Linked DNA regions of Lonchura striata. The protein of the gene in region 2 interacts with the protein of the main gene of each other region in a pairwise test. Links are inferred from orthologs where the notes say so. Each region holds a gene or a part of one and is shown on either strand. Other genes may lie near its edges.

Region 1 (9,914 bases), on a different chromosome or scaffold from region 2:
CCAAGTACTTGGATTTGTGTGCTCTAAGAGAAATGTGGGTCAGTTCTAACATGCAGCTTTTATTTTGCCAGGTAAAACCTTGCTGGCTCAGACTCTGGCTAAATGCCTAGATGTCCCTTTTGCCATCTGTGATTGCACCACCTTGACTCAAGCTGGCTATGTTGGGGAAGACATTGAATCTGTCATTGCAAAACTCCTGCAAGATGCCAACTACAACATAGAAAAGGCACAGCAAGGTAAACTTCCACTGTGTGTTACAGAGACTGTTCATTTTGTTGAAGTACTCTAAGCTTTTGAGACCACCAGTACTCCTGAAATTCATGTCCTGCTGCCTGTACCCAAAGTTTAAATCAGGTAGAATAAACCTGAAGAGAGCTCAACGTGTATTTTTTTGGTTTTGTCCACAATTGGATAAAATTACACAAGTTTTTGCAGAGAGGAAGTAGAATAGATGCTGCTCCCTCAAATTTTACTATTCTCTGTAAACTCTTGCTTCTCTTTAAAAGTAGGGTTGTCATTAAACCCATTTTCTGTAACTGCAGGTATTGTTTTTCTGGATGAAGTAGATAAGATTGGCAGTGTTCCTGGTATCCATCAGTTACGGGACGTTGGGGGAGAAGGTGTTCAACAGGTAAATACTTCCATGAAGTGATTTTACTTCTTGAGTGAACAGGACATAGGATCCTGTCATGTCAAAAAGCATGGAGTCACAGTTCTTCAGTTCCTTAGCTATTCACCTTCAAAAGGTGAGTCTTTCCTCTTGACTTCATTAAAAAACATAATCTCAAGAGCAGTTTGAGGCATCCTCATGGAAGCATTTTAGTTCAAGAATGTCTTTGCAGTATTCAGCCAGCCAGTTCATAATATTCAGATAACCAGTTACAAAGACAGGTAACATTTCCCATTTAAACAGAACTCTTGATGCAGCTAATCGTTATATGCATAATGTGCATGGGAGCCATATTAAAGGGATGTTTTTATCCTTGAGTGGGGCTGTCTCATAGGGAAAACTGACTTTTTTTGACACTTACTGTTACTGTAAAGGTATAAGGGAGCAAAAAATACAGGTGTATTTGTGAATGTGAACATATCATGTTGTGCCCTTTTATATGATGGTACACAATGGGAATTTTTTATTGCTTATTTCTTCTTTCCTTCTTAGGGCTTGTTAAAATTACTTGAAGGCACAATAGTAAACGTTCCAGAAAAGAATTCTCGGAAACTACGTGGAGAAACAGTGCAGGTTGACACAACAAACATTCTGTTTGTAGCTTCTGGTGCTTTTAATGGTCTTGACAGAATTATCAGCAGGAGGAAAAATGAAAAAGTGAGTGCATCAGCCTGTGTCCAGGCTGAAAAATCATCATCTTGATTACTGTTCACAACACCGACTTTTACAGGTCTTGCTGTATTTGTAAACACACTAAATTTCTTTATTTCAGCAAATGGTGCCAAAACCATCATCATCTTAAAACACCTTGTCCTGCATTTCACTGTTTCATAGATTAATGTCTGGGGACAGGGTTCTGGCTGCAGCATTCTGACAAAATGTGCTCCCTGTCTCTAACACTAAAGGAGTGACTGTTTAAGTTATTAAGTTTAAGTTATTGTTCATATTAATTCATGTAGCTTCCCATGTAAGCAAACTTGCCTGCATTTGCTTTGCTTATGAAATGTCACTGATACTTGTAAAATGACCAGAACATGTTGATAACCTTCTTTGTTTTAAGAAAAAAATGGCTCTTGTTCTGATGTATTAATCCTTTACTGAGGAAATTCAATTTTGTAAGAACCTGATTGTATACAAGGGGTCTAATTTTACTCTTAAGTAGTTTCTTGAGCTCGAATTAGTATGTAATGACCTAACCAATCACTGCAGATTTTTTAATACTCACGGAGAGTAAGAAAATTCAGTTATTACAGTTCTCTAAGCAGAACATGTTTGTTCTTGCAGTACCTAGGATTTGGGACACCATCTAACATGGGGAAAGGCAGAAGGGCTGCAGCAGCAGCTGATCTTGCCAACATCAGCGGGGAGTCTGACCCACAGGAGGATATTGAGGAGAAGGATCGCTTGCTGCGGCACGTGGAAGCCAGGGACCTCATCGAGTTTGGCATGATTCCTGAATTTGTGGGACGTTTGCCTGTTGTGGTTCCCCTGCATAGCCTGGATGAGAAAACCCTCGTACGGATTCTCACGGAGCCACGGAACGCTGTGGTTCCTCAGTACCAGGCACTATTCAGCATGGATAAGGTTTGAGTTTTTATTTGATGACTCTTGGGTGTTCATTTTTATAAATAATGTTGTTTCAGTAATGCTTGCACTCGCCATGCCGAGTTATAAATTCAATGATTAACTGAACTTCCTATTTTTCTCTCTGTAGTGTGAATTAAATGTAACTGAAGATGCATTGAAGGCTATAGCCAGACTGGCCCTGGACAGAAAAACTGGTGCCAGAGGTCTTCGATCTATAATGGTGAGTAAATTAAGTCTTATAAACAATAAATGAAGCTTCTGGATTTGTGTGTATGGACCTAATCTTGACCATTTCCAGTTAAAGCCACACTTAGTTCTGGCCCTTACATGGATACAGTAAAGCTGTGAGTATTCAGAGTTCTTCCAAGAAGACTCTCTGAAAATCACTTGTTTATGTAGAAGAGGGCATAGAGTAATATTTTCCCTCTATTTTCTTGTAGGAAAAGCTGCTGCTGGAGCCCATGTTTGAAGTGCCCAATTCTGACATCGTATGTGTGGAAGTTGACAAAGATGTTGTAGAAGGCAAAAAAGAGCCAGGATACATTAGGTAAAATGGTAACAGAAGTAGCAGAACAGACCAGTAATACAACTAGACAGGTATTCTGATGGAATGAGCACAAATCAGTGCACACAACTTAAAAAAGATTCAATGCTCTGTATATTGTACACAGCTGAATTAGTGCCTGTTCTGTCCTAGAGACTTTGGATTTGTATTGCTTTCACTTTTAAACAGAAATGTTAAAATAAACATATATGAAGTTACTTTCATGTGTGTATACCTGTAGAAATGGAAGTAAATTTTAAGGTAACAGTAAAAATTTTAAATTCAGTTGTGACTGTACTGAAATTTCTGAAATGAAACTGTTTCTTTCTTCCTACTTTTTACCACAGATGTGGGGGTTTTTATACAAGCTCCAGGCTGCAACAATTTTCTACATTACTCTTGCAGCAGTGGAGAGCCACAAAGGCACATTTATTGATTTGCTGAACTCTTGTTAAAATAATCAATTTAATGTTGTAAAGAGTACGGTAATGATGTAGAATGTTGAAAACATTGGACAAATCTGCATTTAAAAAAAAAAATCTAACCATTTCCATGAATGAAGGAGGGAATTGAGAGAGAATGGGTCAGGTTAAAACTGGTTAAAAAATTAATTTCTGAATTTCAGGCCTGAAATTTAGGAACTCTGTCTTGGTTTCTATCACTGACAATGTTGTTTGAATGGCTTCCTCCACTAAGGTACTTTTACTCATTCCAGCACCTTGTCTGTGCTGAAGCTTGGCTCCACCTTGTGTGGTTGGAGGGAGTGAAAATGTATTACACTGATGGTTGCTTGAAGTAATTCTGTATAGCACCAGAAATACTAAATGTTATTGATTAAATCAAACAACTTACTGAAAGTCAGGCTAATTGAATTCAGCTAATGAGCCTGTGTGCTGGTGGCACTGCAAATGTGCACAGCAGCATTTCCAGATCAGAAGGTCAGAACTTTTGTCACGGGGCACTGTGCATGTGACATGTTTGTCAGAAGCTATGGAAAAGTATCTGATCATTCCTTCCAATCCTAGGGCTCCCACCAAGGACTCATCAGAAGAGGAGTATGACTCTGGAGTGGAGGAGGAAGGCTGGCCTCGACAGGCAGATGCTGCAAACCATTAAACACTGTCAGAACTCTCACCTGCAAAAAGCTCACTCGGTTCTTTCCTTGTGGCTGCCTCTGGCTCCAGCCTGTCCCCAAAGGCACCAGATCTGTCTCGGATACAATTCATGATGAGGACCTCCATTAGCTAAATCAGATCGTGTATTTTATTGCAGCATCACATTGATTTGATGGACAGAGTGTGGACTGGGATAGCATAATGTTCAAATATGAATTGTATATTACACTTGTTCAATTAAAATGTATAGCAAATGCAGCAGCACCTGCACTGCCCTTGCCAGAAACTAAACCAGCAGCACAGGTGCTGCCAATAGTTAGATTTAACAATAATGTTACTCTACAAGTGGGAAATCAAAATTAATAATTAGTAGAGGGTGCGTAAACTTATCTTAGCTCCTGGTACAGCTCACAGGGGGTTATGTTCAGGTCAGTGTTAGAGTCCTGTTGGTGTGTGTAACCCAGCAGGCGCTGGAGTGGCTTGTTACATTGGTGGGGGAGGAAGCCCTTGTGGAAAAACTGGGACACACTTTGTGACACTGCTGGGACATCCTGCTAAAATGTGACACTGGTTTGTTACAGTCATTTGAATATCCAACAGTAATATCCTTCACGTCTCCATTGGGAGCTTTAATCACCTTGGATGCTGTGAAAGAAGGTGAAGTCTGGTTTTCCAGAGGGGTAAAGATTCCTAGGAAGCAGTAAAACCATCTAAATTTGGATGAGAAGTCAATATAAATTTTTAAATATTAATGTTCTAATATAGTACATTTTGTTTAACGTATTGGAACTATCATGCATCAATTTTTTGGTGCCAGGTATTTGCCCAACCTATCTTATAATGTTAAGAGATGAAAGAAGTAAATGTATAATATTTTTGCTGTAATCAGTAGTGATTGTTCACATGACAGTGCTTTTTAAGTTATATTCTCAAATGCTAGTATTGCATCTTGTGGATTTGTCTTTGATTTTAGTCTCACAGCAAGAAATCTTCCCTCTTCTGTTCTCCATCAAAATAAATTCAATCCTTTAGGAAAGCCTTTGTAAAAACACTAAAGGACCTGTATGTTTTTGATATGTTTCAGGAATTAAAATCGTCACTTAAAAGTTTTTGTCCTTTGGTGAAAATGTGGACTTGAGCTTCCCTAAAACTTTATTCACACTATTTAAATAAAACTTTCATCCTTCTTTTTAGTCTAGTGGCTGTTGTAGGACAGGAAAGGATACTGAAAAATCTATTGACCCTATTTTTGTTATTAATTTCTGTCATGTAAATTCTATGTAATACTTGTGTTCTTCCCTAGCAGCAGTGTGACATGCAGTTGTAGCCGGGTGCAACAGATACTTCCCGTGGGATTACAGATTTTTTTTCAGGTTAAATGACCCAGTAATGGTTCAGAAAAAGCTGTGTTTGGAGTCGAGGATATTTCTAAAAGCTTGGTCCCTTCAAAATGGGAGTTTGTGGTGAACTATCTGTAACTGCATCTTCACTTTCCTTTTTGTAGAGTGAAAAAACATAACAGCTTTTAATTCTGAATCCTTTAATTCAAATCCTTTTTTTAAACAGATAGAAAAGACACCACATTTTAGGTGAAACTGTTCAACAACTTAGTTTTGAAAGTTGTTTGGAATTCTGTAACCAAGAACTGTTTTTAAGGAAACAAAAATGCCATGTAATTACAGTTTGTACTTCACCTCTGGCGTTTGAATAAAAGCGAATATTCAAGCAGTAGCGAGTTGTCATCCCTGACGCCATCCCCAGGTATTTCGAGTTTTAGGAACTTAATTTTTAAGCGGAGCGAGAGGCGGGTGGGGCGGGTCCTCCGGGCCGCCAGGGGGCGCTGTGGCCGCGGCAGCACTGTCATGGCGGCGGGCGCTGAGGGCTGCGCTGAGGCGCTGAGGCGGCGCTGTCGTGGCGGCGGGCGCTGAGGGCTGCGCTGAGGCGCTGAGGCGGCGCTGTCGTGGCGGCGGGCGCTGAGGCGCTGAGGGCTGCGCTGAGGCGCTGAGGCGGCGCTGTCGTGGCGGCGGGCGCTGAGGGCTGCGGCGGGATCATGGCGCAGCCGCCACCTTTCCCCGCCCGCCTCCCGCCGCCCTTCCGCGCCTTCCCGCCGCCCTTCCCCGGCCCCGCCGTCCGCCCAGCGCCCTTCGCGGTGGGGCCGGCGGCACCCCCGCCTTTCTTCTTGCCGCCGCCGCCTGCGGGTGAGGGGGGACCGCGCTTCCCGCCGGGCGTCCCCTACTTAGCGGCGGCCGCGCCGCGGGCAGCGGCCGAGGAGGAGGCGGTGCAGCGGCAGCAGGACGAGCTGTGGCTCTCGCAGTTCCTGGGCCGCCGCCGCGCCGCTCCCCCGCCGCCGCCGCCGCCCGCCGCCGCCAGCCCCAGCAGCGCCCGGGCGCTGGCGGTGGCGGCGCTGCGCCGGGTGGCCCGGCTGACCGCGCTCTGCCGGGCCCTGCGGGGCAGCGAGCAGCGGGGCGACGAGCCGGGCTGGGCCCGGGCGCGGGAGGAGGCGGAGGCGGCGCTGCGGGAGCTGCGAGAGGTCGTGAGGCCCCTGCGGGAGCCCGGGTACGGCGAGGCGCTGCGCAGGAAGGCCGAGAGGGCGAGGAAGAAGAGGCTGCGCCTGCAGAGGAGGAAGCACGAAGCCAGGGCGGCCAGGGAAGAGGAGGCGGCCCGAGCCGCCGAGCGGGAGGCCAAGATCGACCAGTGGCGGGCTAAGTGCATCCAGGAGGTGGAAGAAAAGAACCGGGTATGGTCCCCAGTGCCTGGTCCTGCCTCTCCCCGGGGCTCCAGGACAGCGCGGTGGGGCAGGGCTGACCCGCCGGTAGTGGGGTCACGGCGGGCTGTGCCTGCCCCACACCTGCCTTTGACTCCCTTGCTTCACTGAGGTGCTGCACGACTTCAGCCTACTGAGAGACGTGCTGTTTCCAAGGTCTGCAGCCCTGCTTCTTGCTTAGAAGTCTTGGTGGGCATCTCGGTTTTGCCATCCTCATATTCTACGCCTTGACATGAAATTGGGGTTTAAGTTGTTTCTGAACTCCTGGAGGTTTTCCTCTCTGGTCCCAAGTGTCAGCCTGTCCACACAGCTACCCTGTGGTGATCCGTGCTGTTTCAGTATCCATCAGCCTTGCTTCCTGCTTTCATCCCTCTAAGGCTTGTGGTTTACAAGATTTTTGATCTCATGGGGAAGTAAAACATCTCCAAAGCAAAAAATACCGCCTCAAATTAGACTGGGAAGTGCTGTAGGCACCTTTCTGTTTGTTTTTGGCTAAACTCCCTTTTCTGCTGTTCTACTGCTGGGATGGTCCAGAGCAGCTGCTGAGGAAGGGTTTGTGGTCAGACTGTGGCAGGTTAATGGTCTTAATTGCAGAACTGTGGAATTGGGATGGTTTCTGTTTATTGTAAAGTATTTGCCCTAAATTTCTCTGGTTAAAGGTTCTCAGGCTTTCATAAATCATTTAGGAAGTGTTCAAAAATGTGTGGATGTGGCACTTGAGGATATGGTTTAATGGTGACCATGGTGGTGGTTCTGGGTTGACAGATGGACTTGATCTTTCCCAGCCTTAACAACTCCATGATTCTGTGATTTGGCCCAGATTTATAAGTCCCACAGCATTATTTATTTCTTTTCTGAAGTCTGTGGTATTTTAGCCTTTTTTCATAAAAAGTCAGGGCTGGATGGTTGACTTGACTTGTTTCTGTTATTGTGAAGTCACTCTGCTCTTCAGTGCTTTGCTAATGTCTGAAAATACCATTTTATTTGCGTCTTTGAGGAATATTTCACACATCTCATCTGTTTTTTTCCTTCCTTGCCTAGGAGCAAGAGCTGAAGGCTGCTGCTGACAGTGTCCTGTCTGAAGTCCGGAAGAAACAAGCAGACACTAAGAGGATGATGGACATCCTGCGCGGGCTGGAAAAGCTTCGGAAACTGAGGAAAGAAGCTGCTGCCAGGAAAGGTTCATTACGAGATTGGTCTAAACTTTTATAATTGCACACACAGGAAATAAGATGAGGGTGCCCTGTGCTGACTAGCAAGGCACAGCTTCAAAAAGCTGTGTCTTCATTGTGATTTTAATTACAAGAATAGGTACAAAGTGCTGGTTTCAGTGGTTGTGTTCATATGTTTCCAAGCTCTTTGTGGAAGAAGGATTATTCCAGTGCGAATTCTGTCTGTTAACAAGGTTAAGCTCATGTTCCTCTGCCAGTTTGCAAGCTCTGCTCTCAAGTCTGGTATCAAGCCCCCTTCTGAATCTGAAAACTTAAAATCACTTCTGTTTCTGTTTAGGTGTTTGCCCACCTCCTTCAGCAGATGAAGCATTTGAAAATCAGGTGGAGAGTCTCCAAACATTGCTCAAAACTCGCACAGAACTTTATGAAGCTGAGGAAAGAGCATTAAGGGTTATGCTGGAGGGAGAACAGGAGGAGGAAAGGAAGAGGGAAATGGAAAAGAAACAGAAGAAGGAGAGGGAAAGACTACTACAGCAGAAACTGGAAATTGATTCTAAGCTGTTTGGGGATCCAGGTAAATTCTGCCTCCTGTTCTTAACAGTGTTTTTCCACATCACATCCCCATCTCACAGACACTGGATTTGAAATGCAGGCACAGATCTAGTTGAGAAAGGAATCATCCACTGGAGTAATTTGTGGTCTTAGAATGAGGGATAAACATAGTTCTGTTAACACCTGTGGTGTAAGAGGAACTGTTGCACTCTTCAACATGGACTGCAGCACTTCTCAAGCTGGTTTCATGTTGTTTTGCAAGAAGAGGTTGTAGATTAAACTGAAGTGAGAATAAACAGAATAGATTGAATACTTCCAGAACCATAGATGCTTTAAGCTAGTGCTTTGGTAAGTGTAACTCAGGTAATCTGTAAAGATTCAGTATTCATATGTTCCCCTTTTTTAGATGGTGGAGTCAGGAGGTTTTGCTAGTCTTGGCTTTCCTCTGACAGCTGTGGTACAGAGCAGGAAATGTGTAACACATAAACAGTGTTTCATATATTACTTATGGACCTGATGTCAGATTACATCTGGGCAGTAGCAAATGATTTTGCAAATTATGGGCTAGAATGGAAGGTTTTTCTGGATTATTAAACAATTTCTGTGTCTGTGTTTTTACAGCTGAATTCCCACTCGCCCATCTACTGCAGCCTTTCAGAGACTACTACTTACAAGCTGAACATTCAGTAGCAGCTCTAATCCAGATCAGGTAAAACCAAAGGAAGTATTTTATCATCAGGGAAGACAAACACTGTTTTTTGCAATTGTAAATTCAGTGCCCCTTTTGGTTTGTCAGCTTCCAAATATGGTTATGCAATGGATTGTTCTGGTTTTTTTCAAGTTTCATGCTTGAGTCATATCCAACAGATGCCCATGTGAGGCAGAGTGTACTTCCATGCATAACCATTCCATTTAACACCAGAACATTGAATTTTCACATTTGTCTTTTGAAAAACAAGTTTAAGAGTACAAGTATTGTGGATTTTGTATCGATCAGTAACGTCTATGTGGGTGTGGAAGTCTTACCACCAAATTAATCCCAGCTCTCCTCTCAAACAACACTTTCTCTGTTAAAGGCATGAATGGGATCAATACCTGGTGCCAGCCGACCACCCCGAAGGAAGCTGCATCCCTCCAGGATGGGTTCTCCCAAGTCTCCCCACCAATGACACTTGGGCCACTGCTGTCAGATAATTTCGCAATAAATTATTCCAACGTTGGGGGATTGTTTCGTTATAATTACGTGTAAATATGAGAGGGTCCAAAGAGGAAGTCTCGTCCTCTGTTTCAGCAGCCAGGTACTGGAATGTCTTTACTGCAACATCTTGAAAAAAAGTTTTAAGAATTGTTTTTGCTGATTGGCTGTGCAGGGAGATAGCTGAGCAAGCCCAGAGCTGCCAGGCCTCTCATGGTGTGGAATTACATTCCAGCTGCGAGTTCGTGTTAAATCTCAATCTTAATAAAGGAACATTGCTGATGGTGGTATTTGTGCCAGTATTAACATCCTATT
Region 2 (9,991 bases):
ACAGTACAGATGTTCCAATTCACGCTGTTACAATCAGAAGCGGACTATTTCCTAATCACAATACATTAAAAATGTTTCTTGGCCTTTCAGCTTTTGCCACCTCTCAGTTACCCCATCTCTGAGTCACAAAAGGGCTTATTCTGACACTACATCACTACTAAGCAAGTAGCCTGTAAATATCAGTAATGTGCTGACAATACCCCAAAAATGTGAGTGGTGCCCTGATGGCATCCCAGAAGTATCTTACCATGACTTTTGTAGGGCCCTTGTAGCATCTTGGAAGTATCCTACAGAGAGCTGCACTTTTATCCTGAGAAAGCTGACTCTTGTCCTGGCAGCACCTCGGGAACTTTGTGATAATATCCTGGTAGCATCATGGTAGTACCAGTAATGTATCCTAGCAACGACCCTGTAGTATCTTAGTAGTGCCTTGTCAGCAATACTCATTAGCATTAGCAATACATTTACAATTAGCAAAGTGTTGCTTTGGAGTGTTAGCCTGATAATACCTTAGCAACATCCTGATAGTAGCTTTGTGCTGCACTGAGAGTATCCTAGTAGCAGTCAGCATTGAGTAGCTCAGCACTGTCCTGATGTTGTACTAGCACAGGCAGGAATATCCTGATTCTGTCAGGAGCATCCTGGTGCCCTGATAGTATCACAGTAGTAGATAACGAGTGTCCTGATAGGATCCTAGCAGTGGTGTCACGGGACACAGCTGTTATCCTCAGTGTGCTGGTGGCACTTTGGTAGCACAAAGAATTATCCTGATATTTTCTTACTGCCCCGTAACTACACTGAAAGCAACCTGCACGTATCTTGAGAGGAACCTTGTGTGAGCTGCTCCAGTGGTACCTTCCTACGAGTGCCTCAGTATCAGCTCTGGAAGTATCTTAGTAGCAGCCTGATGGTACATTAGCAGAGCTTTTGCAGCATCCCAGTAGTATTTACAGAGTATCCTGGGAGTACCTTAATGGCACTCTGGAAGTGCCTTACTGCTGTCTGCAGAGTAGCCTGCCCGCATTCTAGTAACCTCAGAGCATCTCAGCAGCACCCTGAGAGCATCTCAGCTGTGTCTTGATAGTATTTCACTACTCCCTCAGGAGATTACTGAGAATATCCCAGCAGTAGCCTCAGAGGAAGCAAGGAGTAACTCAGTAGTAAGCCCGGAGCAGCCCAGCAGAGGTGGCAGCACCCAGGCCTGGCCATGCTTCCCTGGGGAGGGGAGCACAGACATCCCAGCTCTGGGGAAAACCTGCCCTGAAAGGGTGTTGGGTCACAGCCCTGTGCAGCACCGCCGCAGCCCATGCACGTGTGCCCCCCTGGGTGCCCCCAGCCCTGCAGCACACGCCCTGAGCATGCACACCCTGCACGTGTGCACCTGCAGGGGAGCCCAGCCCTGCACACGCCTGCAGCACTCACACACACACACACACACACGGGACAGGGCCTGGTGCTCCCTGTGAACATGCATGCCATGCACAGAGATGCAAAGCACGCACACGGAGCGGCGCATGTGTGCACAGAGTGTCTGCACACAGGTGCATGTGTGCTGCAGCGGTGCACAGGCGCTGGGCTGCACACACTGCACAGGCAGTCACCCTCACGTGCCCCGGTGGATGCATGCCCTGTCCCATGCAAGTCTGCACGCACACACACCTTTGCAAGCATGCATTCCCACCGTGTGCATGAGTGCACACCTTTGCACCCCCAACGATGTCCGTGTGTGCACGCCCATGCACTCATGCATCCCCACGTGCAATGCCATGCACACACACAGAGTGCACCCCTGTGCATGCCTGCATCCCCTCGCATACATTATGCACCACTGTGCACTTGTGCATCCCCACATATGCACCATGGAGCCCGACATGCTCACAGCACCCAGCTCCAGGCCCCACAAACACCAGCAGCACACACCTGCACACACCTGCACACCCACGTGCCTGCACGTGTGCCCCTGCAACTGTACACACACACCTTCACATGCACACACACTCCTGCATGCACATGTATCTGCACGGACACACAGCCCTGCACACACATCTGGACATGCACACACCTGCACACACATCTGCACACACACACAGCCCTGCATGCACATCTGCACACACACACAGCCCTGCACACACATCTGGACATGCACACACCTGCGCACACACACACAGCCCTGCACACACATCTGGACATGCACACACCTGCGCACACACACACAGCCTTGCACACACACACAGCCCTGCACACACATCTGCACACACACAGCCCTGCACACACATCTGGACATGCACACACCTGCACACCCACACAGCCCTGCACACACATCTGGACATGTACACACCTGCACACACACAGAGACCTGAACACACATCTGGACATGCACACACATCTGCACACACACAGAGACCTGAACACACACACACATCTGCACCCACACACACTGAGCCGGACATGCACATCACTTGCACACACATCTGGGCACGCACATCCCTTGCACACCCGCACACACCGAGCAGCACACACATCCCTTGCACACCCGCACACACACCTGGGCACACACATCCCTTGCACACACATCTGGGCACGCACATCCTTGCACGCCCGCTCAGCCCTGCGCACACGCACACCAACACGCACACGGACCCGCCCTCGCTGCGCTCGCCGCCCCTCCCTCCGCCGCTCCCCGCAGGCGCACCCCCGCGGCCCCACGACCCCCAGAGCGCCCCCGCAGCGGGCGAGCACCTCCCCGGCCCCGCACGGCCCCGCACGGCCCCGGCCCTGCCCGCAACATCAGCCCGCGCTGCCCCCAGACCCGACACCCCCGCAGCACCGCATCCCCGTGCGACCCCCCCGCACCGCCTGCAAGGGCAGCATCGCCCGCGCTCCCCAAACCCGCATCCTTCATGGCCCCCCCCAAACCCCGCATCCTTCATGGCCCCCCCAAACCCCGCATCCTTCATGGCCCCCCCAAACCCCGCACCCTTCATGGCCCCCCCCAAACCCCGCATCCTTCATGGCCCCCCAAACCCCGCACCCTTCATGGCCCCCCCAAACCCCGCACCCTTCATGGCCTCCCCCAAACCCCGCACCATTCATGGCCCCCCCCAAACCCTGCACCCGCCTGCAGCCCCGCATCCTTCATGGTCCCCCCCCAAACCCCGCACCCTCCTGCAACCCCGCATCCTTCATGCCCCCCCCAAACCCCGCACCCGCCTGCAGCCCCGCATCCTTCATGGTCCCCCCCCAAACCCCGCACCATTCATGGCCCCCAAACCCCGCACCCTCCTGCAACCCCGCATCCTTCATGCCCCCCCCAAACCCCGCACCCGCCTGCAGCCCCGCATTCTTCATGGCCCCCCCCAAACCCAGCACCATTCATGGCCCCCAAACCCCGCACCCTTCATGGCCCCCTCAGCCCCGCACCCCCCTGCAGCCCCGCATCCTTCATGCCCCCCCAAACCCCGCACCCTTCGCGGCTCCCCCCAGCCCTGCACCCGCCTGCAACTCCGCACCTTTCATGGCCCCCCCCCCAAACTCCGCATCCTTCATGGACCCCTCAGCACCTGCAACCCCGCACCTTTCGCGGCCCCCAGTCCCGCACCCTCCTGCAGCCTCGCATCCTTCATGCCCCCCCAAACCCCGCACCATTCATGGCCCCCAAACCCCGCACCCTTCATGGCCTCCCCAGCCCTGCACCCTCCTGCAACCCCGCACCTTTCATGGCCCCCAAACCCCGCACCTTTCATGCCCCCCCCCAAACCCCGCATCCTTCATGCCCCCCCCAAACCCCGCACCATTCATGGCCCCCCAGCCCTGCACCCGCCTGCAACCCCGCACCTTTCATGCCCCCCCCAAACCCCGCACCCTTCATGGCCTCCCCAGACCCGCACCCACCTGCAGCCCCGCACCCCTGACGCCCCCAGCCCCGCATCCCAGACGCCCCCAGCCCCTCTGCACCCCCATCCCCGCACCCCAGACGCCCCCAGCCCATCCCCGCACCCACCTGCAGCCCCGCATCCTCCGCGCCGCGCCGGGGGTGCTGCGCCCGCACTGCGCAGGCGCGGGGCGGGCCGGTGACGTCACCGGGCAGGGCGCGGGCGGCGGCCGTGACGTCATCGCCCATCCCGGCTCCGTCCGTCCTTTCCCGATCCCCAAAATCCCCCGAGCCCCGCCGGGGGCTCGTCCTTTGTCCACGCGGCTCTGCGCCTGTCCGCGGCACCGAGGGAGAAAATGCATCCATGGAAATGACTACGGAAATGTACAGATGGGAAATAGAAATAAAAGATGGCATATACGGCAATGTAGCCCAAGATTTTTTTTTTTTTCCTTTTATAAAATAAAACAATTAAAATTATGACATAAAAATGAAGCGAATTACAAAATAAAAAAACCGTATTTTTCCTATATTTTTCCTCTCAAAAAACATAATAGTAATCACAAGAAATGAGCAGCTTTTTATAATAATATTCTTTCAGCTTTTTGTCTTAAAATTTATTAGCAATTTAAAGAATTGCTTTCGATGAATGTTGTTCTGCATGCTGTGGGTTTTTTTTTTCTTTTTGAAATCTGGGTTTAGTCCACAGCCAAGTGGGATGTCTGACCTTAAGCTCAGTTTCCCCGATCTTGACAGGCCCTGCTGCCTGCAGCTGCCTGCTCCCTCTCTGTGCTGGTTTTCCACGCAGCAGGGCAGGAGAAAGGTTTCTTCTCTGGCACATGGCTTCAAGTTGTTCACATTAAGGAAAAAAACCTCAAAAGAGTCTGTGGAATGGTTGTTGTTAAAAATCTAATGAGATTTTGCCAAGTCCTGGCTGGAGCAGCGCGTGCTTTGGCTCGGTGCCGAGGAAATCCTCGAATCCCAGAATGGTTTGGGCTGGGAAGGACAAGGACCCTGAAGCTCCTTCTGTTCTCAGGGCTTGGACCAAGTTGCTCCAAGCTCTGTCAAAGCTGGAGCTGAGCACTTCAGGGGATGGAGAAGGTCTGTGGCACACAGATAGCAGGGCCTCCCACCCTCACAGAGTGGATGTCTTCCCAAAATCCACCTGACCCTGCTCTCCATCACTCCCTCGGTCCTGTCCCTCCACACCCGTGCCCCAATCTCTTGGGTGGTCCATGTGACATTAGCCAAAGAGGCAGGATCGATCCTTCTCACACCCGAACCAACAAACTGACAAAATAATGACAATGTCCTGCCCAGGGGCCAGAGGAAACGCTTGGCCAAAGAAAGAACAACAGTGCCCAGTGTTTACAGGAATTAAAAATTCACATTCCTGACTCAACACGGCAAGGACCAAGGCAGGAGGGTGCATTTTTGGGTACCCGATGATTGGGGGATGGAAATGATGATTGGGGAGGGGATGGAAAATGGTGTCATCTGGTAGAGAAGGAGAAAAGAAAAAACAACAGGGAGAGGAGAGGAGAGGAGAGGAAGAGGAGAGGAGAGGAGAGGAGAGGAGAGGAGAGGAGAGGAGAGGAGAGGAGAGGAGAGGAGAGGAGAGGAGAGGAGAGGAGAGGAGAGGAGAGGAGAGGAGAGGAGAGGAGGAGAGGAGAGAGAGAGGAAGGGGAGAGGAGAGGAGAGGAGAGGAGAGGAAGGAAGAAAGAAAGAAAGAAAGAAAGAAAGAAAGAAAGAAAGAAAGAAAGAAAGAAAGAAAGAAAGAAAGAAAGGAAGGAAGGAAGGAAAGAAGGAAGGAAATTCCCAGTGTGGAACTCATGTCAGAAGAATAATAAAGCACCAACTGTTTAGCTTGCTGCTCTGTGGGACTAATCACCCCACCTACAGGGGCACCCAGCACCATTCTCCCCTGTTCTGCTATTTTTTCACTTCTATCTTCTCACATTCATCTCTCCTTATTGGTGAAAGTGGAGTGGATAAAACTAAAGGGGAGGTAGCTCACTTTGGAGCCTCTGCCCTGCGTAACTGTCTCAGATTTGGACAACACTGCAGCTGGGGCTTTGGGAGGGTTCTGAGACTCAGCTCCTCCCCAGCAGCTGCATCTCCACTGTGCCCAGTGCCTGCCTGGACACCAGGGAGTCCAGGAGCTTCTGGAGCTTCTCCCAGCACTGGGGGAGCTCCAGAGCTGCACCCCGGGGTCACAGCACAGCTGGGCTGCACTGGTGCCTCTGCCCCGTGCACTCTGCTCCAGTGTGGGAAATGGATTTGTAGAAAATTGTGGTTAAAGCTGACAGGTCAATAAACGCTTCTAGTGTATTGTAATCAGGAAATGGTCGGCTTCCGATTGTGATGGCGTGAATCATAACATCTGTATTCTCACCCTTCACAGGTGACTGAAAATGGAATGGAAGTTTTTAAACACCTCTCACTTGGCCCATTTCTGGGTCAGCAAAGGTCATCACCCAACACTCCTGCGCAGCAGGGAAGGGCACAAAGGAGCAGCTCCGAGCCGGGATGGATACAGCCAAGAGAAGGAGCCGAGGGGGCTGGGTGGCCCCGGGCAGCTGGGGACAGCGGCCAGGGACTCTGCCAGGAGCAGCCGGCGGGCAGGGGAGCGCTCCCCCAGACTCGCCTGCTCTGTCCCCGTGTCCCCACTGCGCGTTTCCCCCCGTGTCCTGCCGTGTCCCCCTGTGTCCCCTCTATATCCCCCCATGTCCCCACTCTCCCGGGTCTCTCCCGGGTCTCTCCCGGTTCTCTCTCGTGTCTCTCCCGGGTCTCTCCCGTGTCTCTCCCGGGTCTCTCCCGGGTCTCTCCCGTGTCTCTCCCGGGTCTCTCCCGGTTCTCTCCCGTGTCTCTCCCGTGTCTCTCCCGGGTCTCTCCGGGTCTCTCCCGTGTCTCTCCCGTGTCTCTCCCGTGTCTCTCCCGGGTCTCTCCCGTGTCTCTCCCGGGTCTCTCCCGTGTCTCTCCCGTGTCTCTCCCGGGTCTCTCCCGTGTCTCTCCCGGGTCTCTCCCGTGTCTCTCCCGGGTCTCTCCCGTGTCTCTCCCGGGTCTCTCCCGCCGCGTCCCCCCATGGCCGGGCAGTTCCCACGCTCGCGGCTGCCACTGAGCGGCCAAACCGCGGAACTGCAGCTCGGTGCCCCGCGGTGCTCCCGCCGGCGGCGCCGGCAGCAGCGGCCGAGCCCCGGGAACGGGTGACCGAGCTCCGGGAACGGGTGACCGAGCCCCGGGAACGGGTGACCGAGCTCCGGGAACGGGTGACCGAGCCCCGGGAACGGGTGACCGAGCACCGGGAATGGTGTGACCGAGCACCGGGAATGGTGTGACCGAACCCCGGGAACGGGTGACCGAGCACCGGGAACGGGTGACCGAGCACCGGGAGCGCCCGGGCTCCCGGGAGCACCGAACCCGGGAGCTGCGGGCGGTGATGCCTTTCCCTCCCCTTTCCCACGCCGCCGCCTTTTCTTTTTTCTCCCCTGTACCTGCTTTTTCCATTTCGCTCCTTGTCCCCATCTTTTCGGTCCTCCCCGGCTCTGCCCGTAGCTGTTTTCCATTGCACCGTGTTTTCTCTCCAGCTTTCAGGTTTTATTGCATTTCCCCCCGTGTGTCCTGTGGCCCCTTGGTATTCTGCTGTGTTCTCTCTGTCTGGTTTGTCACTGTTAATCCAAATGTTCCTTCCAGACCCTGTAGCATGTCGCGGGGGGATTTCTTTCACCGTCTTTATTCTGTACTCTGTCTCTCTCTTCGAATTCCTCCTCCTCTGCTCTGTCACCCACTGACTGTGCAAAGAGAAGTCCCAGCATTTCTCCCGGGCTTTCATGTGGAAAAAAAAATTTGGAAAATCAAGGGAAAAACTGAGAATGAAGGGAAAATCTTAAAACTTAAAACACAAAATGCAGAAATATGGAAATGAAGGGCAGAAACTTGAAAGAGAAAAAACCCCAGAATAAAAGGAACCCTGGAGATAAAAATTGGAAAATCTTGGAAATTAAGTGGAGGAATTGGAAATAAAAAGGGGAAAGCTAAGAAAGTAGAACACTAGAAAATAAGGGGTAAAGCTGGGAAAAAAGGTGTAAAATTTGGAAATAAAGGGGGAAATGGGAATTAGAGAGGAAAAAAATGGAAAATGAAGGACAAAACTGCTAAGGAGGAGAGAATTTGACAACAAACTTTGTAGGGAAAAGAAAACAGAAAACCTTGGGAACAAAGTGGAAAAACTCAGGAGCAAAGAACACTGCCAGGAAAGCAGCTCCTCACCTGAAGGGGATGGTGGATGGCACAAGGACCCCCTGAACAGAAATGGGGACAGGAATGCTGGATTCCTCTCCTCAGGGACCAGGGTGATGATACTTTGCAAACATCAAACAAGTTTTGGATGTGTTTAAACTCAAGGATGTGTTTAAACTCAAGCTTTAACACTAAATAATCTCACTGTGGATTCTTACGGCACGTTCCATCAAGAGTTTTATTAAAAATAAGAAACAAAAGAGTCCAGTTTCTCCCATTTTGGCTCCAGGCACCAGAAGTTTTCCTCATGCCACAGCCCAACTCCCACAGGCTTGGGCGTGGGGATGCTGCTGTGCTGGGGCGCTGCTGCTCCAGGGTGCTGGTGGCCATAGGGTGATGGCGTGGCAGAATGGGGGTGGCCACTGGGTCTGTGGGCTGGTGGCCTCAGCCCCTGGCCACTCCCCAGGACACAGGGGGCTGGACTGGGGAGCAAGGCGAGGGTGGTGGGGCCTTGCTGCTTCACCTGCAGGATGATCCCCTGCGGCACCTGGAGAGGATGAAAAATAACAAAAAAAATGAAAACATGCCCTAAATCTGCTGATTTTTAACCCACAAACTGCTTGAGGTTGGTGTGAATGTTTGAGGAGGAAGGGGTTCCCTGGCCCTGCCACCAGAGGGAATGAGGAAGGACAAGAAGGTTCAGATTTAGGGATCTTTGAGGGTTTTCCAAACTTAAGGACTCCAGGATTTTGAAGAAGGTGCTGCAGAGCTGTCCCTCTTGGGGTCTGAACCCAGAAATGGAGGTGTGTGCTCCAAACCCACAAACAGGGGCTAAGGAAGGAGGTGATTCAGCCAAATAAAAGCTCAAGTATTGGGATCTTTGTCCCCATTGCTCTTCACCCTTCCCAGAAGAAAGATCAGAAGAAGGAAGACTAAAACGGTAGGATTAAAAGGAATGAGAATAAAAGATATGCAATTAAAAGAATTAGCAAAATTAAAATCCAGAGGAATTTAAAGAAACAGAAATGAGACTAAAAGAACTAAAAAAAAAACCCTGAAAACCAGAACTTCAAACCACAGAACTTCAAAAGCATGTTGGGAGAGGACAGAAGTGACCCTGGAGAGGATGGAAGTGACCTAGGGAGAGTGGAAGTGGCTTTGGAGAGGGTGGAAGTGAGCTCGGAGAGGGGTGGAAGAGGCCCTGGAGGGATGGAAGTGGCCCTGGAGGGATGGAAGTGGCCCTGGAGGGATGGAAGTGGGCGTGGAGGGGATGGAAGCGGCCTTAGAGTGGATGGAAGTGGCCCTGCAGGGGATGGAAGTGGCCCCGGAAGGATGGAAGTGGCCCCAGAGGGATGGAAGTGGCCCTGGAGGGATAGAAGTGGCCCTGGAGAGGGTGGAAGGGATTCCATTCTGGAGAGGATGGCAGTGGCCCCGGAGGGATGGAAGTGGCCCTGGAGGGATGGAAGTGGCCCTGGAGGGATGGAAGTGGGCGTGGAGGGGATGGAAGTGGCCCTGGAGAGGATGGAAGTGCTCTGGAGGAGATGGAAGGTGGACATGGAGGGGATGGAAGGTGGACATGGAGGGGATGGAAGTGGCCCTGGAGGGGATGAAGTGGCCCTGGAGGGATGGAAGTGGCCCTGGAGGGGATGGAAGTGGGCGTGGAGGGGATGGAAGCGGCCTTAGAGTGGATGGAAGTGGCCCTGAAGGGGATGGCAGCGGCCCTGGAGGGATGGAAGTGGCCCCGGAGGGATGGCAGTGGCCCCGGAGGGATGGAAGAGTCCTTGAAGAGGATGGAAGCAGCCCTGGAGGGATGGCAGTGGCCCTGGAGGGATGGAAGAGTCCTTGAAGAGGATGGAAGCAGCCCCGGAGGGATGGCAGTGG
Region 3 (10,589 bases), on a different chromosome or scaffold from region 2:
CGGCGGGGCCAAGGCCGAGGGGGAGAAGGGCAGCGGGGCCGAGGGGCGGCCGCCCAAGGCGGGCAAGGGGCTGGAGAGCCGGAAGGAGAGGGGCGAAAGGACGGAGCCGGGGCGGCCGCGGGTGCCCCCCGAGAGCCTGGCGCTGTTGCCGGGGGCCGTGCTCGACCTCTCGGCCGGTGTCAGCTCGGGGGGCAGCCCCGAGGCGCTGCCCCCCGGCTGGGTGCTCATCCCCCCCGGCTCCCTGCTGCTCAAACCCGCCGCCGTCAACTGAGGGGTCCGACGATGCCCGGGGTCAGCCGCCGGCCCCGTGGGCAGATCCCGCTCCCTGGGGACGGGGGGGCATGGCCCCCTCCTCCCCCTGCAGCCCCGGCGGGGCCTCGCTCGTGCTTTTACCCGTCACGAAAGAAGAACGGACTCTTCTGAGAAAAGCAATAATCCCTCGGCGGCCGGAGCCGGCTGCGACCCCGTGCTGGGGGCAGGTGGGGCACAGGGGGGGTCCCCCTGCCCCCTCTCCCCCCCGGCCCTAGGCAGCCGGATACGCCGCTATTTATTTCTCGACCAGCCCCCTGCTCCGACGGGGTCCCGCTCGGGCTCTCCTGCTTCCGCTGACTCGGCGTCTCCCTGCCCGAGGCCTCGGTGCTGCTGCCGCCCCCGGGCTCCTGCCGCACGGACAGCGGGCTGACAGCCGGGGGACCGCCCTCTCCGCAGCCCCGAGCCGTGCCCGGCCGTGCCGTGCCGTGCCGCCCACCCCGCCCGGCCGCGGGCGGTGCCGCAGCCGGCTGGGCACTCACCGGCCCGGCGCCGCCCGCCTCCTCCCGCTCCCTCCGCACGGCCGCCCCGGCCCTCCCGTGACAAGGCACACGGCCGCGTGTGCTGCTCGCCGGGCTCGGCCCCTCTCTAGCTACGTTCATACCTAACCACGCACCGCGAGCTGATGCGGGCAGCGGCTGCCGGGCTCCCGCTCCTCGGGATGCGGCGCTGGGATGCTCCCGGGTGAGCCCCCGGCGTGGGGCGGCGTGCCCAGCCTCAGCGCGGGCGCAGCTCGGAGCCCCCCCGGGGCTCACACGCGTCCCGCTCGCTCCGAGCCGCGGGGGTCTCCCCATTCCCGCCCCCCGTGCTGAAGGAGCCCCGCCTGCCCCGCAGGGAGCCGGTCTCCCTGCCCTCACCGGCGGCCGCCCGGCGCTGCCCTAGCCCAGCATGGCTGCGGGCCCTCGACCAGGCCGCCCCGGCCGGTGAAACGTCTCCTCGCTCCTCATCGGTTTGTTGTTGCACATTCCAGGACATCAGTATTTTAACGGTCTCGAAGTGCCTTTCTATCGTAGTTTCTGGGTTGTTTTTATTTTCCTCCTGTTGGGCTCCATCGCTGTTAGCGTAGCGTGTAAGGACTGCGCAAGTACGAGATAAGCTAACGACTGTAACACTATATTCGTCCAGGGGAGAGGAAGTTTATTAAGAAAACAATAAAGTGAAGTTGAAGTAAGTTCCTGTTTCAGTCCGTGGCCGTGGTGCCAACGGCGCTGGGGACAGAGGGGTGCAGGGGGGGGACGGGTGTGACCTTGGGGGCACGGCTGGCCCTGCCTGACCCCCAGCCGTGTCCCCGCGCTCCTGCTCAGGCGGCCTCGGCACCAGTGAAAGCCTGCCAGCATCTGCGGGGTGAGCTGCAGGTGGGGACAGCCACAGCGTGTCTCCTCACCCCGAGCCAGCAGCCATCCACACTGGGAGAAGGTAACGGCACAGCACTCCCAGGGTACGGAGCCAGAGACAGCCGAGCACTCCATCCAAGAGCATCCAACCTCCCCACCAAAAATAGCTCCTGCAGCCTCCCCCAGTGCCATTTGAGCCCTGGCAGCCTCAGTGCCCTGGGGACACCCCTTCTTCCCCAGCTGCCTCCTCCTCCTCGTCTTCCTCCCCCAGGCAAACGCAGCCCCTCGCAGGGGCCGATCCTGCCGGGATCGCTGGGCAGGCAGGTCCCTGCTCCCTCCCCGGGTGTGGAGCAGCCAGGCCACGTGCTGGAGGAGACGGCGTTTATTGGCTACCTATAAGTTAAGGGTGAGGGGCACGGGGGGCAGGGGTGGCAGGAGTCACGTCTCGGCTTTCCGCCCCTTCTCCTTGTCGCCCTTGGCCTGGATGCGCAGCTCCTCGTCCAGCCGCTCCTTGGCTCTCACCACCTGTGGGACACGGGGTGACACACGGGATGGGGTGACACACGGGATGGGGTGACACACGGGATGGGGTGCCCCCTCCCCTCCATGCCTCATCCCTGGGTATATCCAGGCTCTGCCTGTCCCAAAAGCCAGACAAGGGAAGGAAGGTGCAGCCCTGCTCCTCCCGGCGCTCACCTTGGACTGGAGGTAGAAGGAGCCTCCCACTGATTTGTCGTTCACCTTGAACAAGTGGTCGTAGTTCTGCCGAGAGAAGCTCTGGGTCAGAGGCATCCCAGCCTTGCCATTCCCACTCCCAAACCTTGGCAGCCTCCCACTCCCCAGAGAATTGCTGAAGAGTGATCCCGGGGGACACGGCTCCTCTGCCTGACACCTCTTAGGAGCCCCCGTGTTCCCAGCAGGGCACCTCCAGAGATCCCATGTCCCTTCCCTGAGCAGCCCCGCTGGGCAGATGCAGAGGCCAGGTCTGGAGGGCTGCTCCAGCTGGGGCAGGGAATCCTCAAGCTGTGCTTAACTGAGCCCAAGACAGCACGGGGGACCAGCTGCCACCCCCATGCACAGCAGCACCCTTGGAGAGGCCAGGCCCTGCTAGCACCATCCCTGCCTGGCTCCAGGGAAGCCTCTACCTTCTGGATCTCCTCAGGGTTGAGGCTGGAGACGTTGAGGATCTGCTGAGCTTCCTGGAGGCTGATGCCGATGATCCTGGAGGCAGCAGCGGACTGGGGCCTCTCGGCGCGTCCCCGTGCATTGGCTGCGGCCTGGCTCGCTGGGGACAGCAGGGCCTGAGTCCCCTGCCACCCGGCCCTCAGGCAGCACAGCCCACGCACCTCCAGGTGCTCAGACCCCGGTGTCCCCCTCTGTCCCCATCCAGCCACCCCGGGGCCATCTGAACACCGTCCCAGTGCCAGGGAGGTGGCAGGGAGCAGGCAGGCACCGTTTGCCACAAGCAAGGCAGGGCTGGGGCTGCCACATCCCAGCGATTATCCCACTCTGCCCTTTGGAGTGCCTGGCAGCAGTGCCAGGATGAAGCCTGGTGACAACCTGGCAGTGTCCCCTGCAGGGGATGGGGCGCGCTGGGGTGCCCAGGGAAGGGTGGGGATGTGGAGCAGTGCCCAGCAGGGCAGCGTGGGCACACGGAGCAGCATCCCAGCTCCTACCTGCAAACTCCTGGCGCAGCGCCCGCATGAAGGCCCGTCCCACCACCTGGGCCCCCACCAGAATGATCTGTGCCAGGTACTTGGCCTGCGGGGACACCCTGCTGTCACAGCCACCGCGGCTCCTGTGCCCTGTCACCTCCCCTTGGGCCCTGCACAGCCCCACGGGCTCTGTCACCTCTCGCCATCCCCTGGGGCTCTGCTCTCACCCCATTGGACTCCTGTCATGGCCCTGTCCCCCCTTCTCTGTCCCTGTCCCCCCACCCAGGCCCTGCGATCTTTCCCAGGCTCTGTCCCCCCCCCAGGCCCTTTCTCCTCTCCCCTGTCCCCTCTTCGCTGGCCCCGCGACCCCTGCTCTGTCCCTGCTCCGCTTTCACTGGCCCTGTCCCCCCTCCTCTGGCCCTGTCCCCCTCCCCATGACTTCTTCCCCCTTCCCTGCTCCTGTGACCCCTTCCCCTGTCCCTGCCCCTCTCCCCTGACGCTGGCCCTCCCGGAACCAGCTGCCTGGCCCGCTCCCGAGCGCGCTGCCGCTGCCGGTCCCGGTGTCCCCCGTCCCCTCTCACCATGTCCCCGCCGCCGCTTCCGCCCGCGGTCACGTGCCCGGGGAGGGGCACGGCGGACACCGAGACGGCGGCGGCGCGGCGGAGCGGCCCGCCCGCGGCCACAGCGCCCTCTGCCGGCGGCCCCGCGCGGGAGGTCCTCCGGCGGCGGGGCGCGGCTTCCCCGTGTGCCCCCATCCCCGGAACCTGCGCGACCCCGGTGCCGCTGTCCCCCCGCTCCCCGTGTGCCCCCATCCCCGGAACCTGCGCGATCCCGGTGCCGCTGTCCCCCCGCTCCCCGTGTGCCCCCATCCCCGGAACCTGCGCGACCCCGGTGCCGCTGTCCCCCCGCTCCCCGTGTGCCCCCATCCCCGGAACCTGCGCGATCCCGGTGCCGCTGTCCCCCCGCTCCCCGTGTGCCCCCATCCCCGGAACCTGCGCGACCCCGGTGCCGCTGTTCCCCCGCTCCCCGTGTGCCCCGGTCCCTGTGCCCCCCACCCCCGGAACCTGCGCGACCCCGGTGCCGCTGTCCCCCCGCTCCCCGTGTGCCCCCATCCCCGGAACCTGCGCGATCCCGGTGCCGCTGTCCCCCCGCTCCCCGTGCGCCCCCATCCCCGGAACCTGCGCGACCCCGGTGCCGGTGTCCCCCCGCTCTCCGTGTGCCCCCCTGCCGCGGTCCCCGGGTCTCCCGGATCCCTGTGTTATCGCCGATTTCCGTGTCCCCCGGTGTCGGTTTCCATGTCCACCCGGGCCAGTCCTTGTACCCCCCTGCCTCGCTGCTCATGTCCCGCTCGGTTACCGTGTTCCCCCACTGTCGATCCTGTGTCACCCCGAAGCCCGTATCCCCCTGGAGCCTGTCCCTGTGTCGCCCCCGGTCCACATGTCCCCTTGTTCCCTGTGTCTCCCCCATTCCCAGTCCCCGTGTCCCCCCGGTGTCCCAGGATCACGGCAGGACACGGTGCTGGTGCAGCGGCTTTAATAGCGGGTCCTGCCCGCGGGGGGCCCTGCGCCTCCTCCATCTCTTCCTCCTCCTCCTGCTGCTGCTCGTGGTCGCCCCGGGCCGGGTGCGGGGTCCCGGCTCCCCGGGGGCGCGGGTCCCGCCTAGTCCTGCGGGAGGCCGGGGGTGAGCGGCGCGGCGGGGCCGGTGCGACCCGGCCGGGGGTCCTGGGTCCCCCTCCCGCACTCACCCACTCGTCCTCGTCCACGCCCTCGAAGGAGTCCTGGGGCAGCGGGTCGTCCCTGTTGCCCAGCCGGGCCACCATGGCACTGAGGAGCTGTGGGGAGAGGCCGGGCAGAGCCGTGGGGCACAGAGCATCGCCTCCAGACCTGGCGCAGGGTGCTCAGCCCAGAACTCACCTCCTCCTTCTTCTGCTCGTCGGTCTTCTCCTCCAGGTACACAGACGCAGGGACGAACTTCCGAGCGGGAGCCTCTTTGGGGGCCTCGCTCACTGTGGCAGTGGTGTCACCACGGGGCAGGAGGACTCTACCCCATTGACTAAAGCCACCCCAGCCACCCCTGAGGGCCGCGGGTCCTCGCCCAGCCCCTGCACCCACCTGGCAGCATGTCTGCGGGGCGCAGGCTGGCGCGGCGCTGCTGCCCGTCCTGCCCGTCCAGCCACGCACCGGCAGCCAGGGCCGGCTCCCACCACACGCGGGTCGGCGGGTAGAGATCGTCCTGGAAATACTCCTTCTATGGGGGCAAGGGTGCTCAGGGGGTGCCCTGCCTCCTTCCCCTCCCCAGACACGGCCAGCCCCCCTCGCCTCCTACCTTGACGCGTGGCACGTGGAAAGCCACGGGCTCCAGGGTGCTCTGCCCCAGGCGCAGCGCCCGGGCAAACTCCACCTCCCGCACCTCGCACGCCGTTTTGGGCAGGAAGACGAAGCCCTGGTGGGGTGGGGGTGTGAGTGGGGCCTGGCAGCACAGGTAGGGGCCCAGGGACAGGCAGCGTATCCCCCCTTTACCTTGTGGGGCTCATTGGAGGTGAAGCTGTTGCACTCGAGGAAATAGGGGGGCTCAGGGGTCACTTCATAGAGGAAGACTCTGGTGTCACCCTGGGGATGGAGCGAGATGGGGGCTGTCAGGGGACATGGAGGGTCCCTCCACACTGTGGGATGCTGTAGGCAGGGAGCCCCACTGTTTTTTGGAGGGCAAGCCCTCACCTTGCCGGTGAGGAAGACAACGCTGGTATCCTCATCGTAAAAGGGCAGGAGGGTGGAAGGGGCCACGTCCAGACCAAGGACAGACAAGGGTCCTTCAGACAGGGCCTGTGCCCGGTACAGGAGGATCCTCCTCTCGCTGCGGCTGTGGGGAGGTGACAGTGAGAGCAAGCAGCGTCCTCGGGGACCCCTGCCCTGGTGTGTGTCCCCCTCTTTACCTGTCAAAGCCGGACACCAGGAGGAAGTCACCACCACAAACCCAAACCAGGCGTGCTCCGCGTCCCCCCTCAGGACCTGGGCCCTCCTGCATGGGGTGAAGGTCACCCTGCCTGCTCCGAGAGAGCTGGGGGTGCAGTCATGTGCCCACAGGGAGGGTTTCCTGCCCACACCCCCAGCTCTCCAGTCTGTCCCCCATGCTGGGATTGTACCTGTTGAGGCTGAGAGCTGCGCCGTGGCTCATAGAGCCGTATCCGTCCGTCTTTGCTCACCGTTGCCAGCTTCTTCCCATCCGGGCTCCAAGCCATGCTGAAAATCTGGAGAGACAGACGTTGTGCAAAAGTCCCAAAGTTGCCTCTCAGGTGTCCCTGGATTTGTCATCCCTTACCTGATCCGTGTGTCCCCGCAGGCACAGGACTTCCCGCCCGGCGCTGAGCTCCCAGATCCGCACGGTCATGTCGTAGGAGGAGGAGACCAGGAGATCGGATGCCATGGGGTGGAAGCGGATGGAGTAGATCTTTTCCGTGTGACCTGGTGAGGTTCAGTAGTGCGTGGTTGTCCCCAGCTGTGGGTGCCACCAGGCTGCTTTGTCCCCACTTTGGGGTGCTCAACAGGCCCCTCACCTCGGAGAACGGCTTCAGGCTCCTGCAGGGTCTCCCGCAGCCCTCCCTCAGGGATCCGCCACAGCCGGATCCTGGCGTCCTCACCCGCTGTGCCAGAAGGGACGGGCAGTTGTTAATGGGGTGATCTGGAGTCCCTGGAACCGGGGGACTCTCCGGGCACACCCGGGCAGGGCTGGCACGCACGTACCGACAGCGAGGCGCCGTGGGTCGAAGGGGTCCCAGGTGAGGTCGGCCACCGCGGCGCCGTTCTGGATGGTGGGCACGGCCGCGTCGGGGAGGCGGCCGGGCTTGGAGAGCTGCGGGCGAGAGCCGGGGGTCACTAGCACGGCACACCCGGCGCCGCGCCGGCCTCCACACCTCCCCGGGGTACCTCGAGCACGGCGATCTGGCCGCCGGCGGAGAGCAGGGGCAGGGCGACGCGCTGCTGGTTGGCACAGAAGCCGTCGCACTCGCCCGGCGTGGTGAGGCTGAGCCCGCGCAGGTTGGTGAGGTGCTGGTCCCGGTGCAGCGCCCGGCCCTGCGCGTGCCGGAAGCGGGAGCTGGGCCCTGCAGCGGGCGAGGGCCGCGTGAGCGCCCCGAGCCCCACAGCGGGGCACCCCGAGCCCGCCCCGCTGCCCGCTCACCCAAAAGGCTCTGCAGGGACTTCTGGCTGGGGCTGCTGGCAAAGCCACTGGAGGGGCCGGTGCTGGCGGAGAGCGAGGTGGCCGCGCTGCCTGGCGAGGCCAGTGAGGATGGTGAGGAGTAGCCACTGGCTTCCTAGGGGAGAGAAAGACCAGACAGGGGGTGCTGGCACCCTCGCCTTGTCTTGTAGGATGAGGGCAGCAGGGACCCCACCCCTTCAGCGTTCAGCGCACTTTTCCAGCGCCCCATGCTCACACTCTGGTCTGCGTCGGTGTGGCCAGTGTCGGTGTCGGTGTGGCCAGCGTTGGTGGGGCCGGTGCCAGCAATGATGGGGGATGTGAAGGTCTCTGTGGGTCTCCGTGCAGGGTGCAGGCTGACTCTCCCCACCTGCACAGAGCACAGCGGTGAGCATGGGGCAGTGGCAATGCCACCAGCAAGGACACACCCCCCGGATGACACTGACCTGCTGGCTGTCCCCTGCCCACCAGCCTTGGGCATCGGTGGCTGGCAGCATCCCTGTGCAGTCAGGGAACAGATCCTCGTGGAACTCCTGGACAGACTGGGGGAGAGGGGGTGGGGTGAGACAGATGTTCTCAAAATCCCACAGCCTCTGTCCTGCTGTAGCTGGGGCACCTCTGGGCACCCCTAGACACTTCCACACCCAGACCCCACTACCCAGAACCCAGATTTCCTGGCTGAAGTGCCCAACACCCATTGCACAACAGCACCCAGCAGGTGGCACCCAGCTGTCAGCATCCACTCTCCAGCACCCCAATCCTGCACGCAGCGCCCAGCTCCCCAAATCCAGCACCCAGACTCTGCAACCCACCACCACCATCAATGTTTGACCTCCACTCCTGCTCTCCCCAGGCTGGGGACTGGGCTCTCACCACAGCCAGGTCCTTTTTGCCACCCAGTGCTGGTGAGGTGGCACCCATGAGATGACAGCAGGCACTGACGCCCACAGGGTCCCCTTACCTTGCGTGGCACCAGGTAGCTGACGGGGACGAGGGCGGTGTCAGTGAGCTGCAGGACACGGAGCACCTCGCAGGCCATGACATCCAGGGCCAGGCGTGGCACGGCTGCCAGGCCCCGCGTGCTGCCCTCTGTCCGGCACTGGGTCACTGCGGGACAGGCAGGGTGGCCGTGCTGTGGGTGGCCAGGCAGTGGTGAGTCCCCCAGGGGAGATATGGGTGGGATGGGACCTGCTTACCCTGGGTCAGTGCTGGCTGTGTGGGGGCTACCTCAAAGCAGTACAGGAGGTTTTCTCCCTGGAAAAGAGGTGGTAAGGACAGGGAATGAGCAGGGCTGTAGGAAGCACCCCACTGCACCCACATGCAACCTCCTGTACTCCACTGGTGCACCCACATGTACCAAGCTGCACCTCACAACACCCCCCTGCATCCTCCTGTCCCCCCAGCGCCTCCCTGCACCCCCCAGCCATGGCACCTCACCTTCCCCGCCAGCACCAGCAGTCCCGTGTCGGCATCGTACAGCGGGATGGTCACCCTGCAAGGGAAGAGGGGTGCTGAGCCAGGGGCCCCCGTGGGAACAGCACTCCCATGGATGTGGGGCTGGATGTTGTTCCTCCACTGGTGCACACCCCAAACCCCATCCTGGGGCAGCGTGGGGCAGGATAAGGCCACGCTGCGATGGGAGGGCAGCGCCGTGCCCGGGGGTGCAGGTGCCGGGCCGGTCCCCAGGTGACGACCCTCGCTGTCCCAGCCCGGGCCGACAGGTTGACAGCAGGATGTCACTGCCGCCTGCTTCCAGCCCCGGCTGCGCAGTGCCCAGCCGTGGGGCATCCCGCTCCTTGCCCTGCTCCCGGTGCCCGGCCATGGCACCCGGCCTCACCCGGGGAAGCTCCGGGCCCGCGGGGCTGCCCCGGGGCCAGCCGGGCCGGCTGGGCCAGTTCGGGGCGTCGGTGCCAGCTGCAGCGTGTCCCTGTCCCTGCCCTGCACCCTGCCCCAGAGCGCGCAGGGTGGCCGGAGGGGACCGCAGGGAACACTCGGTGACCTGAGGGGACAGCGGTGAGAGGAGCACAGAGACACTCCGTGCCTTCCCTCGGCAGGGCTGGAGGAGGGAGCGCCGCGGGCAGAGACCAAAGGGACAATCTATTACTTTCGGTTGACGTTTCTGTGGCTGTGCCAAGGGGAGGGAGCTGCTCCATGCCATGAAGGGTATCTGCGGGTGGTTTGGCATGGGCCTGCCCCGGAACTGTTGGCACAACCTAGGCAAACACTGCCAGGATGTCCGGGACAGGCACCGGGGTCCCCTGCCAGCAGCACAGAGGTGCAGGTCTGGGACAAGGGCACCCTGAGTGCCTGGCTGTCCCAGCCCAGCCCATGCCATCCTCACCATGCCAAACAGGGAGCATTGCTCTGCCGTCACAGGGGCATGCAAGGGCCACCCACTTTCCCCCTGTCCCCTGGGACTCGGTGGCAGAAGCTCTGTGGACGCCAGAGGCATGGGGGGACTGGGATCCCAGGGCACTGGGGCTCATCGGTGCCAGAGTCCCTGGTTACCCTGGGCACAATGGATATGGGAGCCCCTGGGGGTGCCAAGGACACCCAACCCAGCCTTTTTTATTACCAGGGTCGCCAGGGGTCCCATGGGTGCTGGGGATACAAGGGAGATACTTATACCTGGATCTAGCCCTACACCTGTGTGTACACACACCAGGGGTGCTGGAATCCCAGGGACCCCGGCTCCAGGGAGGCTGAAGGTCCTGGGGGGCCCTGGAGGGTTTGGAAGGTCTGGGAGCTTCCAAATGTCCTGTGGGTCCTGGAGATCCTTGTGACTCTGGGGAATCCTGGGGTCACATGGAGCTCCCAAGAGGTCCCAGAGGTCCTTGTGACTCTGGGGAATCCTGGGGTCATGGGGTCTGGAGGTCCCTGTGGAGGCCTCTGGGATCTTTATGACTCCCATGTCCCAGAGGTCCTGGAGGCACTGGGGGCCACTGACTCAGAGGTCCTGGGTGCCCTGATGGTCCCTGTGACTCTGAGGTCCCAGATGTCCTGGGTATCTCAGGGTTCCCTGTGAATCAGAGATCCTGGATATCCCGAGGGTCCCCGTGACTCCGGGGTCCCGGTGGTCCTGGATGTCCCGGGGGTCCTG

Evidence for each region.
Region 1: the proteins of FEZ1 (region 2) and PDCD7 interact in a two-hybrid assay, tested with the Homo sapiens proteins (2 studies listed by BioGRID and IntAct). The link is inferred for Lonchura striata from reciprocal best matches to the Homo sapiens genes FEZ1 and PDCD7.
Region 3: the proteins of FEZ1 (region 2) and PAM16 interact in a two-hybrid assay, tested with the Homo sapiens proteins (2 studies listed by BioGRID and IntAct). The link is inferred for Lonchura striata from reciprocal best matches to the Homo sapiens genes FEZ1 and PAM16.

Annotation. Positions count from the first base shown.
Region 1 is NC_134613.1:21,929,993-21,939,906, forward strand, and holds the start of PDCD7 (programmed cell death protein 7), read left to right. Parts: upstream 1-5,966; coding exon 5,967-6,653; intron 6,654-7,721; coding exon 7,722-7,860; intron 7,861-8,189; coding exon 8,190-8,426; intron 8,427-9,025; coding exon 9,026-9,113; intron 9,114-9,480; coding exon 9,481-9,598; 3' UTR 9,599-9,914. Other genes in the region: CLPX (ATP-dependent clpX-like chaperone, mitochondrial), read left to right, coding at 72-236, 543-631, 1,163-1,327, 1,955-2,254, 2,385-2,477, 2,698-2,804, 3,827-3,917. UniProt on the Homo sapiens protein: Promotes apoptosis when overexpressed.
Region 2 is NC_134625.1:3,083,640-3,093,630, forward strand, and holds the start of FEZ1 (fasciculation and elongation protein zeta-1), read right to left. Parts: upstream 4,104-9,991; 5' UTR 4,001-4,103; intron 3,136-4,000; exon of another isoform or gene 3,119-3,135; intron 1-3,118. UniProt on the Homo sapiens protein: May be involved in axonal outgrowth as component of the network of molecules that regulate cellular morphology and axon guidance machinery.
Region 3 is NC_134618.1:3,696,133-3,706,721, reverse strand, and holds PAM16 (mitochondrial import inner membrane translocase subunit TIM16), read right to left. Parts: upstream 3,949-10,589; 5' UTR 3,883-3,948; coding exon 3,880-3,882; intron 3,405-3,879; coding exon 3,320-3,404; intron 2,929-3,319; coding exon 2,789-2,928; intron 2,406-2,788; coding exon 2,340-2,405; intron 2,169-2,339; coding exon 2,082-2,168; 3' UTR 1,426-2,081; downstream 1-1,425. Other genes in the region: zinc finger protein GLIS2, read left to right, coding at 1-271; CORO7 (coronin-7), read right to left, coding at 4,957-4,962, 5,043-5,129, 5,212-5,303, 5,410-5,545, 5,624-5,740, 5,818-5,907, 6,016-6,157, 6,231-6,316 and 11 more. UniProt on the Homo sapiens protein: Regulates ATP-dependent protein translocation into the mitochondrial matrix. Inhibits DNAJC19 stimulation of HSPA9/Mortalin ATPase activity.